Linked DNA regions of Neurospora crassa OR74A. The protein of the gene in region 2 purifies or fractionates together with the protein of the main gene of each other region. This does not show direct contact. Links are inferred from orthologs where the notes say so. Each region holds a gene or a part of one and is shown on either strand. Other genes may lie near its edges.

What was found.
Region 1: the proteins of NCU00424 (region 2) and NCU07554 purify together in Saccharomyces cerevisiae (affinity purification with western blotting; 3 studies listed by BioGRID, with this or other methods). This does not show direct contact. The link is inferred for Neurospora crassa OR74A from reciprocal best matches to the Saccharomyces cerevisiae genes PDS5 and SMC3.

What each region holds. Positions count from the first base shown.
Region 1 is NC_026503.1:4,380,375-4,386,801, forward strand, and holds the start of NCU07554 (chromosome segregation protein SudA), read left to right. Parts: upstream 1-2,037; 5' UTR 2,038-2,449; coding exon 2,450-2,487; intron 2,488-2,612; coding exon 2,613-5,439; intron 5,440-5,501; coding exon 5,502-5,952; intron 5,953-6,021; coding exon 6,022-6,320; 3' UTR 6,321-6,427. Other genes in the region: NCU07555 (hypothetical protein), read left to right, coding at 126-238, 452-564, 747-835. UniProt on the Saccharomyces cerevisiae protein: Involved in chromosome cohesion during cell cycle and in DNA repair. Central component of cohesin complex. The cohesin complex is required for the cohesion of sister chromatids after DNA replication.
Region 2 is NC_026503.1:3,811,079-3,817,525, forward strand, and holds the start of NCU00424 (Spo76 protein), read right to left. Parts: upstream 4,273-6,447; 5' UTR 3,819-4,272; coding exon 3,468-3,818; intron 3,406-3,467; coding exon 1-3,405. Other genes in the region: NCU00425 (hypothetical protein), read left to right, coding at 6,300-6,447. UniProt on the Saccharomyces cerevisiae protein: Essential for the establishment and maintenance of sister chromatid cohesion at centromere proximal and distal regions during S phase. Also required for chromosomal condensation.

The DNA.
Region 1 (6,427 bases), about 570 kb from region 2:
CATGGAAACAAGATCATCTATCTACCCGCGTCGGCTCGCTGTTGTCGATACTCGAAGATGTGCACAACCTTATAAAAAGTTTGTCTAGCTGTCATGGCGCGGCGCGAAACGAAAAAGAAGCCATGATGCGGTACACGGTAGTGCAGCATAAGCAAGCTGGCGACGCACCCCATGGTCCATCATCTGTCAAGCGTGTGCCTGATCCGTATCAAAGAGAGGCTTCGGCCGGCTTCTTGCTGTGAGACTCCGAAATCAGGAAAGCCGTATGATTGGGGATATCTCGGTACTGTGCCCTTGTTGGTGACTGTCTCGCCCGTCATGCATTCAGTTCGGATGTTGCCGCCGTCGCCGCCATCTTGTGACCAACAACACCAAGGTACTCGGGAAGCAACCTCAAATCGCAGAGCGGTAACGAGGGCACACCTGATGGCTTGTAGAGTTTGTAACAAAGGTTGTTTGGCGATGATAATCTCAACACCTTGCCTTGTATGTCCAAAAAGAGGTTGAAGTCAGACATTTCGATGCAGGTGTATACGCGTGTACTGGTCGAATGGCACAAGGTGTGTACGTACAGGTAGGTATGTACGCAGTAGAGTAATCACGGACAATCTCGACGCGGGATCTGCGACACAGGAGCCATTCAAGATCAACAACGACTTGCTCCCTTTCCCTTTTCAGCGATGTTGAGAGTATCCGTCTAGAACCAGACGGTTCTCGAATAGATTACTGACCAACTCGACCTATAGATCGAGAAAGGCAGCATCCAGGGCACATGGGCGGTTACTATGAGGTCTTTGTGAGGTTGCCGCGCCGCAGGGACAGTGGAGCAAGCTAAAAACAATTAGGTTCCCGTCAAGTGGGGCGTGGGAACGTCCACTGATCATTTCAAAGTCTGGGGTCCCTTGCTGCTCCCCATTCGGGCACCATTTCGGTCCCAGGCGAGAGCCACCAGAGAGAGTCGAAAGCCTCGAACAGATTTTTCTCGTCAGTCTCTCTATTGGAACCCCAACTCCAGACGAGAAAATGCGGGACGTTGGATGTCTCCATTCACGAAAATGACGATTGGTTGTCCTGAGAATGGAGGGCGGAAAACGGACACTTGTTCCGAATATGTCGTACACTAGATGGAGACAACAAATAAACTCGCCGGGCGTTGGAGGAGCAACCCAGACTACCATAGGTCCCAGATATCAACTACTGCGTACACCAGGTGTGAACATGTGGATGTCCTTGGTTCTCCTGTCTCTATCGCCGTATGTTGGAACTTGGCACCATCTACACAAGCTGTATGGGATCCATCATGTACAGCAATTTATCGAGGTGTTGATTTTGTGGTGTTGCTACTACTGCTCCATCATCACAAGCCGAGACAGTAGGTACTGTAGCATCAAGCGCACTAGGGGCTCTGACGGATGCAGCTACTGCCAATCTGCCACGCGTCTGTCGCGACACTGGCAACTGAACTGAGAGCTGAAATACATACATGGCTCGAGGCTCAACAGTCCCAATCACCCCAGTTCATGGACTGTCTTGTGCTTCGATTCTGATGACAGTTCTGTGTTTTGAAAGCCTATCACGTAAAGCTACCAAGCCACGTCGCGCGAATGGAGGTTTTGAATCCTGAAAGAGCTTTGCTCCAGTTCCTTCCCGTCATCCTTCCTACGTTTCGCAATATCACCGAATCCATCAAGCTGCTTTAGGTGGGAACATTCCCAGCCCAGCCTGCTGCTTGGTCAGAGCACGTGATTGGTCTGGGCGCTTTGTTCTACCGCCATAGTCACAATGGCCCGAGCGCCTTTTGGAGAGCTCACTCCCGCGCTGCGACTCTGGCCCTGGTGCCGCCCGCTGTCGGTGCTTGCCTGCGGGAAAGAAGTGTGGAAATCCCCTGCAAGAGGGGAGAGCGCGCGACAGGACAGGGGAACCGCCCGGCGAGACGCGTTGAAAGTGAATTATGTACTACTCCAGGTACATGTTCATAGCGGAAGTTCTTCGGTATCGTCACCCGCCAGCGGCCAACACGCCCCCCCCCCCCCCCCCGTCCCAGGTCTTTCCATATTCGCGCTCGTGTCAGGTGTGAATTGTGTCCAGAAGCGGAACTTGATCAATCACAGTTTCCTCCCACATCGCGACAATTGGAAAGGGTCGACGACTCCGGCATTCTCAACGACGACGCTCTTTCGCGCCCCGCGACCGATGGATGCGAACCAAACGATGCAAATAGAGACGATCCGATTCCCACTCTTGACAACCTCCGAGCTCTCGACCTGAACTCTGTACCTTACCCTTGTTGCGCAGAGTGATGCGCGCAGCTGTCTACATAGTCTACTAGCTATACTAGTCTATTGTTGTATTCCCATTGGTCTATATTCCATCCCACTTCAGCGTCTCTTCAACATCAAAGTAGCTGCCGCCGCGCTGTCGTCCAGTTGACGACGACAACACCGCAACCATGCACATCAAACAGATTATTATCCAGGGCTTCAAAAGGTGCGTCGCATGCTTGTCTACTATGGCTCTACGTCAACGTCAGTCCTTCGTTTTGGGTGTGGCGCGCGCCTGGCGCATGCAACCAGGTTGAAGCCGGTGCTGACTTCTGACACTTCCACGACCAGCTACAAGGAGCAAACCGTAATCGAACCCTTTTCCCCCGGTACCAATGTTATTGTTGGTCGCAACGGTTCAGGCAAGAGCAACTTCTTCGCCGCCATCCGATTCGTCCTCAGCGATGCCTACACCAACATGAGTCGCGAAGAGCGCCAGGCCCTGCTTCACGAGGGTTCGGGCTCGGCCGTCATGTCGGCATACGTCGAGATCATCTTCGACAACACCGATAAGCGTTTCAGCGAACCCGGCGACGAGGTCGTCATCAGGAGGACGATCGGTCTCAAGAAGGACGAATATTCAGTCGACAAGAAGGTGCAGACTCGTGCCGATGTCCTCAAGATTCTGGAAACGGCCGGCTTCGCCAAGGAAAACCCCTTCTACATCGTTCCCCAAGGTCGTGTCGCAGCCATCACCAACATGAAGGAGAACGAAAGACTCAACCTGCTCAAGGAAATTGCCGGTACCAACCTTTACGACGACAGGCGCATACAGTCGCTGAAGATTATGGCCGAGACAAATAGCAAGCGCGAGAAGATCGACGAGTTGCTCGAGTACATCAAGGAGCGTCTTAGTGAACTGGAGGAGGAGAAGGACGAACTCCGCGACTTCCAAGAAAAGGACCGCGAACGCAGGTGTCTCGAGTACGCCCACTGGCACCGCCTACAGGAGACCAACAACAACACTCTGGAGCAGATCGAAGAGGTGCGGCAGGGAGGTGCTGGCGCAACGACTAAGGACCGGGTCCAACTCCAGAAAACGGAAAAGGAAATTGCTGCCCTCGACCACAAGTTCCAGGAGCTGAAGCAGACTCTTGAGCTCCTGGCCATCGAACGGCGCCAGTTGGATGAGGACAGGAAAGACACCGCGCGTTCGCAGGCAAAGGCAGAGCTGAAGCTGAAGGATCTCGACGAGACACGGCATTCGCGCGAGAAGGCCCAGCAGCAACAGGAAGCGGAGCTGAACGAGGTCAGGCGAAGGATCCAGGCTGCCGAGTCAGAGCTTGCCAAAATCACACCAGACTACGAGAAATGGAAGAAGGAGGAGGAAGAAGTGGCGGCCGCAAGGGATCTGGCGGCCACTGGTCGTACCAGGTTGCTGACGAAGCAGACGCGAAGCTCCCAATTCAGGACAAAGGCCGAGCGCGATGCTTTCCTGAAGAGCGAGATCGAGGAGACGACCATGCAGCTTGCGAACCAGCGGGCCAATGAGATGGATGCGAAGGAACAGGTCACGCTGGTCGAGAACTCGATCAAGCAACTAGAGAAGGAGATCCAAAACATCCGTGACAGGCTCGAAGGATACGGTGAGGACCGGTCATCAATCGCCGAGAAGCTGACCAAGGCTCAGGAGGCCAGGGAACACTTGTACGAAGAGCGAAAGAGACTGCGTCGTGAGGAGGACAAGCTCAGTTCTTTGCTTGCGAATACCCGTGCAGATAGAGACAACGCGGAGGCGGACCTCTCACATGCCATGGATTCGGCGACAGCTAGGGGTCTAGCAGCGATCAGACGCCTCAAAAGAGAGCGGGATATTCCCGGTGCCTATGGTACTCTGGCAGAGCTTATGAACGTGCCAGTAGACGCTTACAGGTTGCCGGTCGAACAGGTGGCGGGTAACAGCCTTTTCCACTATGTCGTCGACAACGAAAAAACGGGCACTATGCTGTCCGAGTATCTCCACAAGAACTATGGCGGTCGTGTCACATTTATGCCGCTTGAGCAACTACGGCCAAGGCAGGTGAAGATGCCAAGGGCCTCGGACGCCCAGCCACTTATCAGCAAAATTGAGTTTGACCCGATATACGAAAAGGCATTCCAGCAGGTCTTTGGGCGCACAATTGTCTGCCCCAACTTGTCGATAGCCTCTCAGTATGCACGCACACACGGTGTGGATGCCATCACCCCTGAAGGTGATACAACCAATAAGCGGGGTGCTATGACCGGTGGCTTTGTTGATGCTCGCCGATCACGGCTGGAGGCGGTCCGGAGACTCGAAGAGCTTCGGGAACTTTACGAGCAACAGCTGGAAGACTTGGACAGGATCAAGAAGGAAGATGAGATTCTGGAGCAAAAGATCACGAGCGCTAATGGCGAGGAACGTAAGCTCGATCAACAATTGCGCCAGTTCGAGTCAGGTTTCGATCCCCTGAAGGTCGACTTGCGGACGAAACAGCTTCAGCTGGAGCGCGAGCGGCGACATCTTGAAGACGCCAAGATGCGCTGGGCGGCCATCGAGAAGAACCTGAAGGAGTTTGACGAGAACCTCACAGCATACCGGGCCGAAATGGCTTCCGAGTTCAAGAAGGCGCTATCAGCCGCCGAGGAGCGTCAGCTCGAGGAGTTCGGTGCCGAAGAGCACCGCCTGCAGATGCAGTTGAAGGAAATCAGCAAGAAGCGTCTGGAGCTGGAAGGCCGCAAGAAGTCACTGGAGACGGAACTTCGTGCACATCTCAGGCCGCAGGAGGATCAGCTGCGCAGCCAGGCCTTTGAGAACTCCGCTACTGGTGGAAGCGGGAGCTTTAAGGACGCTCAGAAGGAACTCAAGAAGCTTAAGAAGGCTGCTGCTGAGGTCGACAGGCAATTGCAGGAGAACGAGGAGAAGACGGAGGGCATCGCCGCCGAAATTGCCGAGCTAGAGGCCCACAAGGCGCAAAAGGAGCAGGAACAACAAGAGCTCCAGAAGCGGATCGATCAGTATCAAAAGAAGTTGGAGAAGAACTCTCAAACCAAGGCTCGTCTGCTCCAACAGGCGGCTGAGTACGCCAAGAACATTCGTGATCTTGGTATTCTGCCTGAGGAAGCCTTTGGCAAGTATGAGAAGATGAAGTCTGAGCAGGCAAGTTATCATCCTTGGACAATTCTTGCTTGATCTGCATACTAACTAGAAAAAAAAAACAGATTGAAACAAGACTGCGCAAGGTCAATGAGGCTCTCAAGAAGTACAAGCACATCAACAAGAAAGCCTTTGACCAATACAACAACTTCACAACCCAGCGTGAGCAGCTCCTGAAGCGTCGCAAGGAGCTCGACACCTCGCAGAAGTCGATTGAGGAGCTCATTCAGCATCTCGACCACGCCAAGGACGAGGCCATTGAGCGGACGTTCAAGCAGGTGTCTCGAGAGTTCTCCACCATCTTCGAGAAGCTTGTGCCTGCCGGCCACGGCCGTCTGGTCATCCAGCGCAAGGCTGCCGGCAGCAAGAACCGCAATCCAGAGGACTCGGACGAAGATGGGCCTTCCTCCGCTAAGGGCGTCGAGTCCTACAGCGGTGTGGGCATTAGCGTTAGCTTCAACTCCAAGGTTATGGATGAGCAGCAAAAGATTCAGCAACTCAGTGGTGGACAGAAGAGTATGTTATTTTTCTTTCTCATCCTTACCTTTCCCCCCATCCCCCTTACTAACACCGTATGATCACCAGGTCTCTGCGCCCTCTGCCTCATCTTCGCCCTCCAGGCCGCCGAATCCTCCCCCTTTGTCATCTTCGACGAGGTCGACGCCAACCTGGACGCGCAGTACCGTACCGCCGTCGCCGCGCTGCTGGACTCCATCTCCAAGACGCAGAAGACCCAGTTCATCTGCACCACGTTCCGGCCGGAAATCGTCCTGGTGGCTGATAAGTGCTATGGCGTTACGTTCCATAATAAGACGAGTACGATTGATTGTGTGCCGACGGAGGATGCATTGAATTTCGTAGAGGGTCAGGTTAGTGGGAAGTGAGTGGTGAGAGTGGTGTATGGCGTGAGGTGTGGTGGGGATGGTGATGGGATGAGTAGAAGAAGGAGTAGGAGGAGGAGGAGTAAGAAAGGGAGAGGGTGGTGGTAAGG
Region 2 (6,447 bases):
GCCCTCGGGGAGATAGGACTTCTCTGCAATTGTCTGCGCTTCGCTGTGGGACTGGAGGGCCGTGTACAGACCGACGGGTAGGCCGACCTTTCCGGGGAACGCATTGAAGGCCCAAACCTTCTTCTCCTGCCACTTCCTGATAATAGATTGCGCCAAGTCACTCAGGACCCTGTGCGCATCGCTGTTCGGATTAAGACCATCTTGCGTCTGCTTCACACGCTCCGCGTACTTGTAGATCAAGCCCAGATTGGACTCGGTGCCCACCAGTACGATGTAGTTGAGGATGTACCGAGCGTGGTCGATAAGGTAGTCTAACTCGTTGCTGTAGTCGGGGTGGTGGGCCAGAAGCGAGATGAGGCGGGCCATGATCGCCTCGAGAACAGGCTGCTTGAGGTTCTGAAAGTGGCGCGCCCGAGAACGGATCCATGTTTCCACCCTGTTCTTGAACTCAGTGTTGGGTTCGAAGGCAGTGAGGAAGATGATGGTATAGTAGCGCGACCGCAGTTTGCCATCGGCAAGATATTTTTGGAGTTTTCGCACAAAACCATGACGCACCTCCTCGACCATATCTTGAGTGGTCAAGGCCAACAGGTTGAAGTCTGATGGCGTAAGCATGTCGTCGAAATGCTTCTGTGTACAGAGCTTGAGCATCAACTGCGCAGCCAAGAGCCTTAGCCTTGTCTTGTGATGCTTGGGCGTATCCTTGTTCTCGACAATTTCGCCCTTCTCCTTGATGATCTTCCTGAGCACCTTCCAAACATTACTGGCCTTCTCTTTTGCGTCTTCGATATCCTCGATACTCCTCACCCTGTTGACTAGTGTTCTGAGGGAGAGGCACTTGGCCTGGATTTCCTCATCCATCTCGGCGTCATTGACCCAATCGGGATCGCTGTCTTTGGCGTCGGTCCGCACCTGGAGGAGGATCTGCTTGAAGGCCATATTGAGAATCTCATCATTCGCCTCCTCGGTAACCTTGGGTGCAAGCAGTTCCAACTGGCTCACAGCAGTAAGCTTGTTAAGGAAATTACTCGACCCGTATGACCAATCCTTCAAAATCCTTTGGAGAAGATCAGTGGCGGTAACCATGCTCTTGTCATCCTTCTTACAAAGAACAATGTTCACGGCATGCTTCGAGGCCTTGACGGGTTGGCCATACAGAGCATAGTTGATCATGGTCTGGACGAATTTCCGATCCATGGCGACATCCTTAGGGAACTTCCGGGCATACGTAGAGCAAGCCTTGAGCGTTTCCGCTACTATGGGATCGTTCGGCTTTGTGGCATTAGGAGCCTGATCAACAAGATCCTTGCAAAGCTGCCCGATGTGAGTTTTGAAGAGGTCTGGGTTGCGTTGAGAGATCTCGTTCAAGATCTCGTGCGCAACCGATCCCAATCCGTCCTTATCTGATTTGGAGTACTCCATAATCGTAGATAAGTGACTGCGGTTGAAGAGAAGACAGCCAGAACGGTAGAGTAGAGGAAGCAGAGTGTCAATAACTGAGGGGTCTTTGCTGGCCATACAGCGCTTGATGAGCTCTTTCAAGGCCTTATACACTGTCTTAAAATCATTCTCCTGGCCAATGACATATTTGATGAGGTTGTAATTGCGGCGGTCGTGAATTTTAGCAAACTTGAGTAGGTCGGTCTTGCTCTTGACGTGTTCTGGAAGAAACTGTGCAATGTAATCGGCCGTTTTGTTCAAGTTGCTGGTGATTTTGTCGGCATTGCTTTCCATAACACCACCGTTGTACCTCTCGCACTGGTCGAGATAGGTTTCCATAATCTTGGCGAACTGAGGCCGTCTAGATTGCATGGCGAAAAATGCCTTCTTCGCCGGTTCGTCCAGAGAGCGAACAAGGAGGAGAATCCTCTCTGCTCTAATCGCATCATGGTCAATGGATGTCGCATTAGCCGATTGCGACTGGGAGTTGCCGTTGGCGTTGGAATTCTTGGTCGCCTTTTTGGCTGGCGGATACCCAAGAGGTACTAGGAACTCGTAGATGACGCGATCCATCAGGACATTGAGTTCCAGATCATTGGCGTAAAAGGCGTTGTAGATGCGCGACGGGATGCCAGACAATGCTGCTGTTACCGCTTCATTTCCAGCAAGCATCTCACCAGTCCCGACAGCCCAGAGTTTAGCCAACAGTGACATGGCAGCAACTCTGACAGCGGGTTTCCTGTCGCGACAGCGATCGGCTAACGTATTGAGAACCGATCCATCCTTGCCTACTCCTCCATTAGGTCCTAGCTTAGCAATAATGTCCTGAAACTTGAAGGTCTCGACAGCCTTAACAGCTGCAAGTCTGACTTTCTCATCGCTGTCCGAGAGCTTCTCTCCCAACCCTCGGATCAAAGTAGCCTCGTCCTCGCGGCTGAGTCCGATTCCTCCAGCAGAGGTGGAGAGAATGTGGCCTACCGCCGTGGTCCATGCAGCGCGAATTGACGGGGCTTTATCATTCTTCCTACTCAAGAAGTTGTGGAACGTCGTACTATGTGTTTGCGAGAAGGATATGGAGCAAAGTGGCGTGGTGAGGATGTTGGTCACTTGGGGTTCCGCTCTTTCTTCTTCTTCTTCCAGGCTCAATGGCGGGTATGCGGCTGGATCAAGGACGGGCAGTGGAGGCGGACCTGCCGCGCCAATGCCCGAAATCATGTCTCCGAGCGTCTCCGTTGCCATCTGTCGCAAGTGCACATTGTCTGCTGAGAGCTCTGCATCAACCTGAGGGACAACGTTTTGAAGGATCATGGGAGAGGCCTTCCAGATCTCCCGAATAAGCACATGTGCCTTCCTCAATTCTTTCAAGTCGGACTCGGAGGGCCCTGTCGGGCCATCATCCTCATCGTTTTCGTCATCCTCGTCTCTGTTGCCGTTCGACCTCCCCGCAAACCCTGTCGCATCGACAATCACATCACTAAAATACTGACTGGCGAAACGGGCCATCTTGTCGTCATAAGTCTGGCATAGATTCCTGACCATCTGGTAAGCCTCGGGCTCTTCCTTCAGAAGCAGCGTTGCCTGGCTGTCATCGACTGGCACATGATCCTGCCGTTCCTTGCCTAGTCCCGGAGCAGCCGCTCTCAGGAATTGGGCCATGATGACATCCACAACCTTTCCTGGAAGGGTTACGGAGTCGTCGATGAGTACTCCCAGCATCTCTTGCATGCTAAACTCGACGTCTTTTCCAACCTGCTCTCCCTTGGAAGATTTGACACCCGAGACACCGTCGAAAATGGTGGTAAAAAGCTTGAGTAGCAAGGCTTCGCTGCCTTCAACATCGAGTAGCAGAACGATACTCTTGATCTCGGCAAAGGATCGCAGCACATACTTGTGTTGGTTGTTGTAGGGATTCGATGGATCGAAGAGGGCGGGAATGATGGAGTTGATGCTGAGGTTAAAGATGTCCTGTTTTGCGATCACCAACGTCAGCAAGTGGTCCATGAGATGGTGTATTCTGGCTCTCGAACCTTGAGTTGCGATGGTGTAAAGGGCGCATCGGGGGCACATAGCCTCAAGATATCGACAATGCAGCATGCCGTGTATGCTCGTACGCCCTTGTCCTTATGTTGGATGAGCTGATGAGAGGCTACGTCCTTAGCAACCTTGACCAGTGAATTGGTGTCCACAGTCTCCTGATCCATCTCCGACAGCTCCTTGGAGAGGGCGTCGAGCCTCTTGAGCAGTGTATCGATGGAGATGGGCTTGCCGGGGCGCCATGTCAAGGGCTCGTTGAACTCGAGTGCGACCAGTCCCTGTTCCTGCTCCTGCTCCTGCTCGAGCTCCTCCTCCTCCTCGGGAGCGCTTCGACGTGGCGCCATGGCGGCTGACGCGCTGCGATCGGTTACCTTCCTGCGTATGATCTTGAGGACGAGCTAGCTGAATAATTGATTTGGCCAAGTGACCAAGCGGCGAGGATGGGAAACTGATTCGAATAAAAAGGCGGAGGCAGAAAGGAGCTGGGAGGGCCTAAGAGTCTATGGGCGACCGCAAGCCGCGCGTGGTGTCGTGGTGCGACGTTAACGAGAAACGTCGAGGCTCAGGCCGTTGACTCGCGATTGACGATGCGCGCGGGTCCTTGGAGATATACGGGCAGCTTGGTATCGCGGGCCACGAATTAAGATCCGAGATAATGATATGCGCAGGTGGTGTCTAGATGTCGCGCGACAGGCCGACTGAGCTCGGAGGAGGATACAGTCAGTTGCGGGGGGATGATGAGTCGTTGATATGGTTCGGCAACAGCTGTGTTACGCGCTTGCCCGTCCTGTTCCTTCGCGTGACGGGCAGTACAACAATTCGTGAACTACCACTTGGGGGGGGGGGGAAACAATTGGCGGGACGATGGCAGGCAGAGAGCTGCCCAAGAGCCAAGGAGCTGCAGCGTCCGCAATGGATGACAGGGGCCCTGTGACCACTGGCAAGGGGCCCTGTGAAACGTTGCGATCAGCTTACAGCAAATTACCACTCACTGTTTCGGCAAGCCGCACAGGCATTACATCTGTATGAAAATATGGTATCAGTAATTACAGTATGGTCAAACTCCAAACAACGCTGTCAATCGATGCAACTTGAACTTCAACCGCACGTCAACAAAGCCTCTCAAACCACCTAGAACTCATCCATGACACTCTTTTATTCAACATCCCTAACATGGTGAAAGCTACCCAAAGTATGTGAAATACGAGTCATCGCTGAGCAGTATTTATTTTTCTGGAATTATTTTGTCTACATTCGTACTGGATGGGGGCCTTTGACAGCGTAACATGTTCACGTTGACCCCGTCACTAGTCCACTTTGTTCGACGTATTGCGCAAGAGGAAGTCTTGAGATCTTTCATTCATACATTCCAGTTCACTTTATTCGATACGTTCATGAATATCCTCATGGGCTTCACGACTTCACAGTCTAAAATAATGCGTTACCTCGTTCTCGTCTTCAGTGCCTTGCTTGCGAGTCTCATCGCTGAAAGTTTCCGGCATCGTTTGACGTTTACGAATTAAGATCGTTACGCTTCAACAAGGAATCATATGTGGCAAAGTCATGTATGTCTACCTGCTCGGCGGAATGGACAACCTTACATTCCCAGAATCTACAAAGCAGACATACCTAAACTTCTCTTCATATCTAACACTTCCTACGGCACTGCAATCCATTTATCATCCGTTTGTATCATGCTCACAAGGACATGGATACATCCACGAATCATCCTACGTTGGATCAAACAGCAGCAGAATAACAATCGAATAGTGCAAGTGATTATGTCCGAGATACTGTGAGATCACCCCCTTTTAGCGGCTACCTATACTTGGAATCAGAGTGGTCGCTACGGGACATAGCATTTTGCTTGTTTTTCTTTTCCGCACAAACCTGCAAAATTCAGCCTGGCAGATCACAAGAACAGATCTGAGCATCTACCGTACCAAAGAGAGCAGACGTAAACGTCTCGAGAGAACCTAGCCTTGTCACACGTCTGAACAACCCTCGACTAGTAGGTGAAAGCAGGGTTACCTTACTTCATCGTACCTACCTCTACCCGCGGAACCTTTGGACATGGAAGGTACGCCGCTAATTGTACGGACAAGCTTCAGGTGACGGAATTGCGTTTCCAACAACCAAGCGCACCTCCCCGTCTGAAGGACTCCTTAGGTTCTCAAGGAACTCTTGCCGGCCCGTTTTCATCCCATCCTCCTCGGTCGCCAGTCGAAAACAGTCGTCCACAATGGCAGCTGCTGCAGTGGTTTTGACATTCACTCCCTCCTTCCCCAGCGTATAAGAATCCCAAAGCTGGCCCGCAGTCTCTTCTTCCACCTTTCCTCCTTCCCACCTTTGCACTCTTCTTCGACAACTGCGGGATCGTCTTTCCACTCTCAACAGCCACTCGTTCAGCGCGCGCGCATCCAGCCCTCCAGGATTAATCACTCGTAAGCACCGAGTCCCATCATTCTGCTTCCTTTTTATTTCTCGTCCATTTGATTGTATCGTTGCGACGACTCGTCGCATGGTGGGGAGGCTCCTCGATCGCAACACGGTCGCAACATGACAGTGGTCTTGCAACACCTTCGTGGGGCACCTCTTCACCATGCGCCTGGTCTTATCACCATAGCAGGCGACTCTGCGCGCATCAAGAGGTCTTGATCCCGGACTCTTACCGGCGTGTTCATGCCTCGTCGCCGTTGTCGCAAAGCCTTTCTGGGCCCCCTCTCCCCTTCCCCTGTTCTGCCCCGCGCCCATGAGTTATAGTTACTCTCTCATCTTGCGCGTCGTCTAACCATCCTTTCTAGCTTGTCTCTTTGACCGCCACAATGTCTGACAACAGTGTCATCGGCTGCATTCCCATGCGTAACGGCAACGAGGAGCCCTGCGTTATCATGAACACCGAGGAGCCTTGCGTTATTATGCGTACCGAGAAGAAGGGCCGCAAGGTCAACATGATGCTGATGGCCGCTGCCA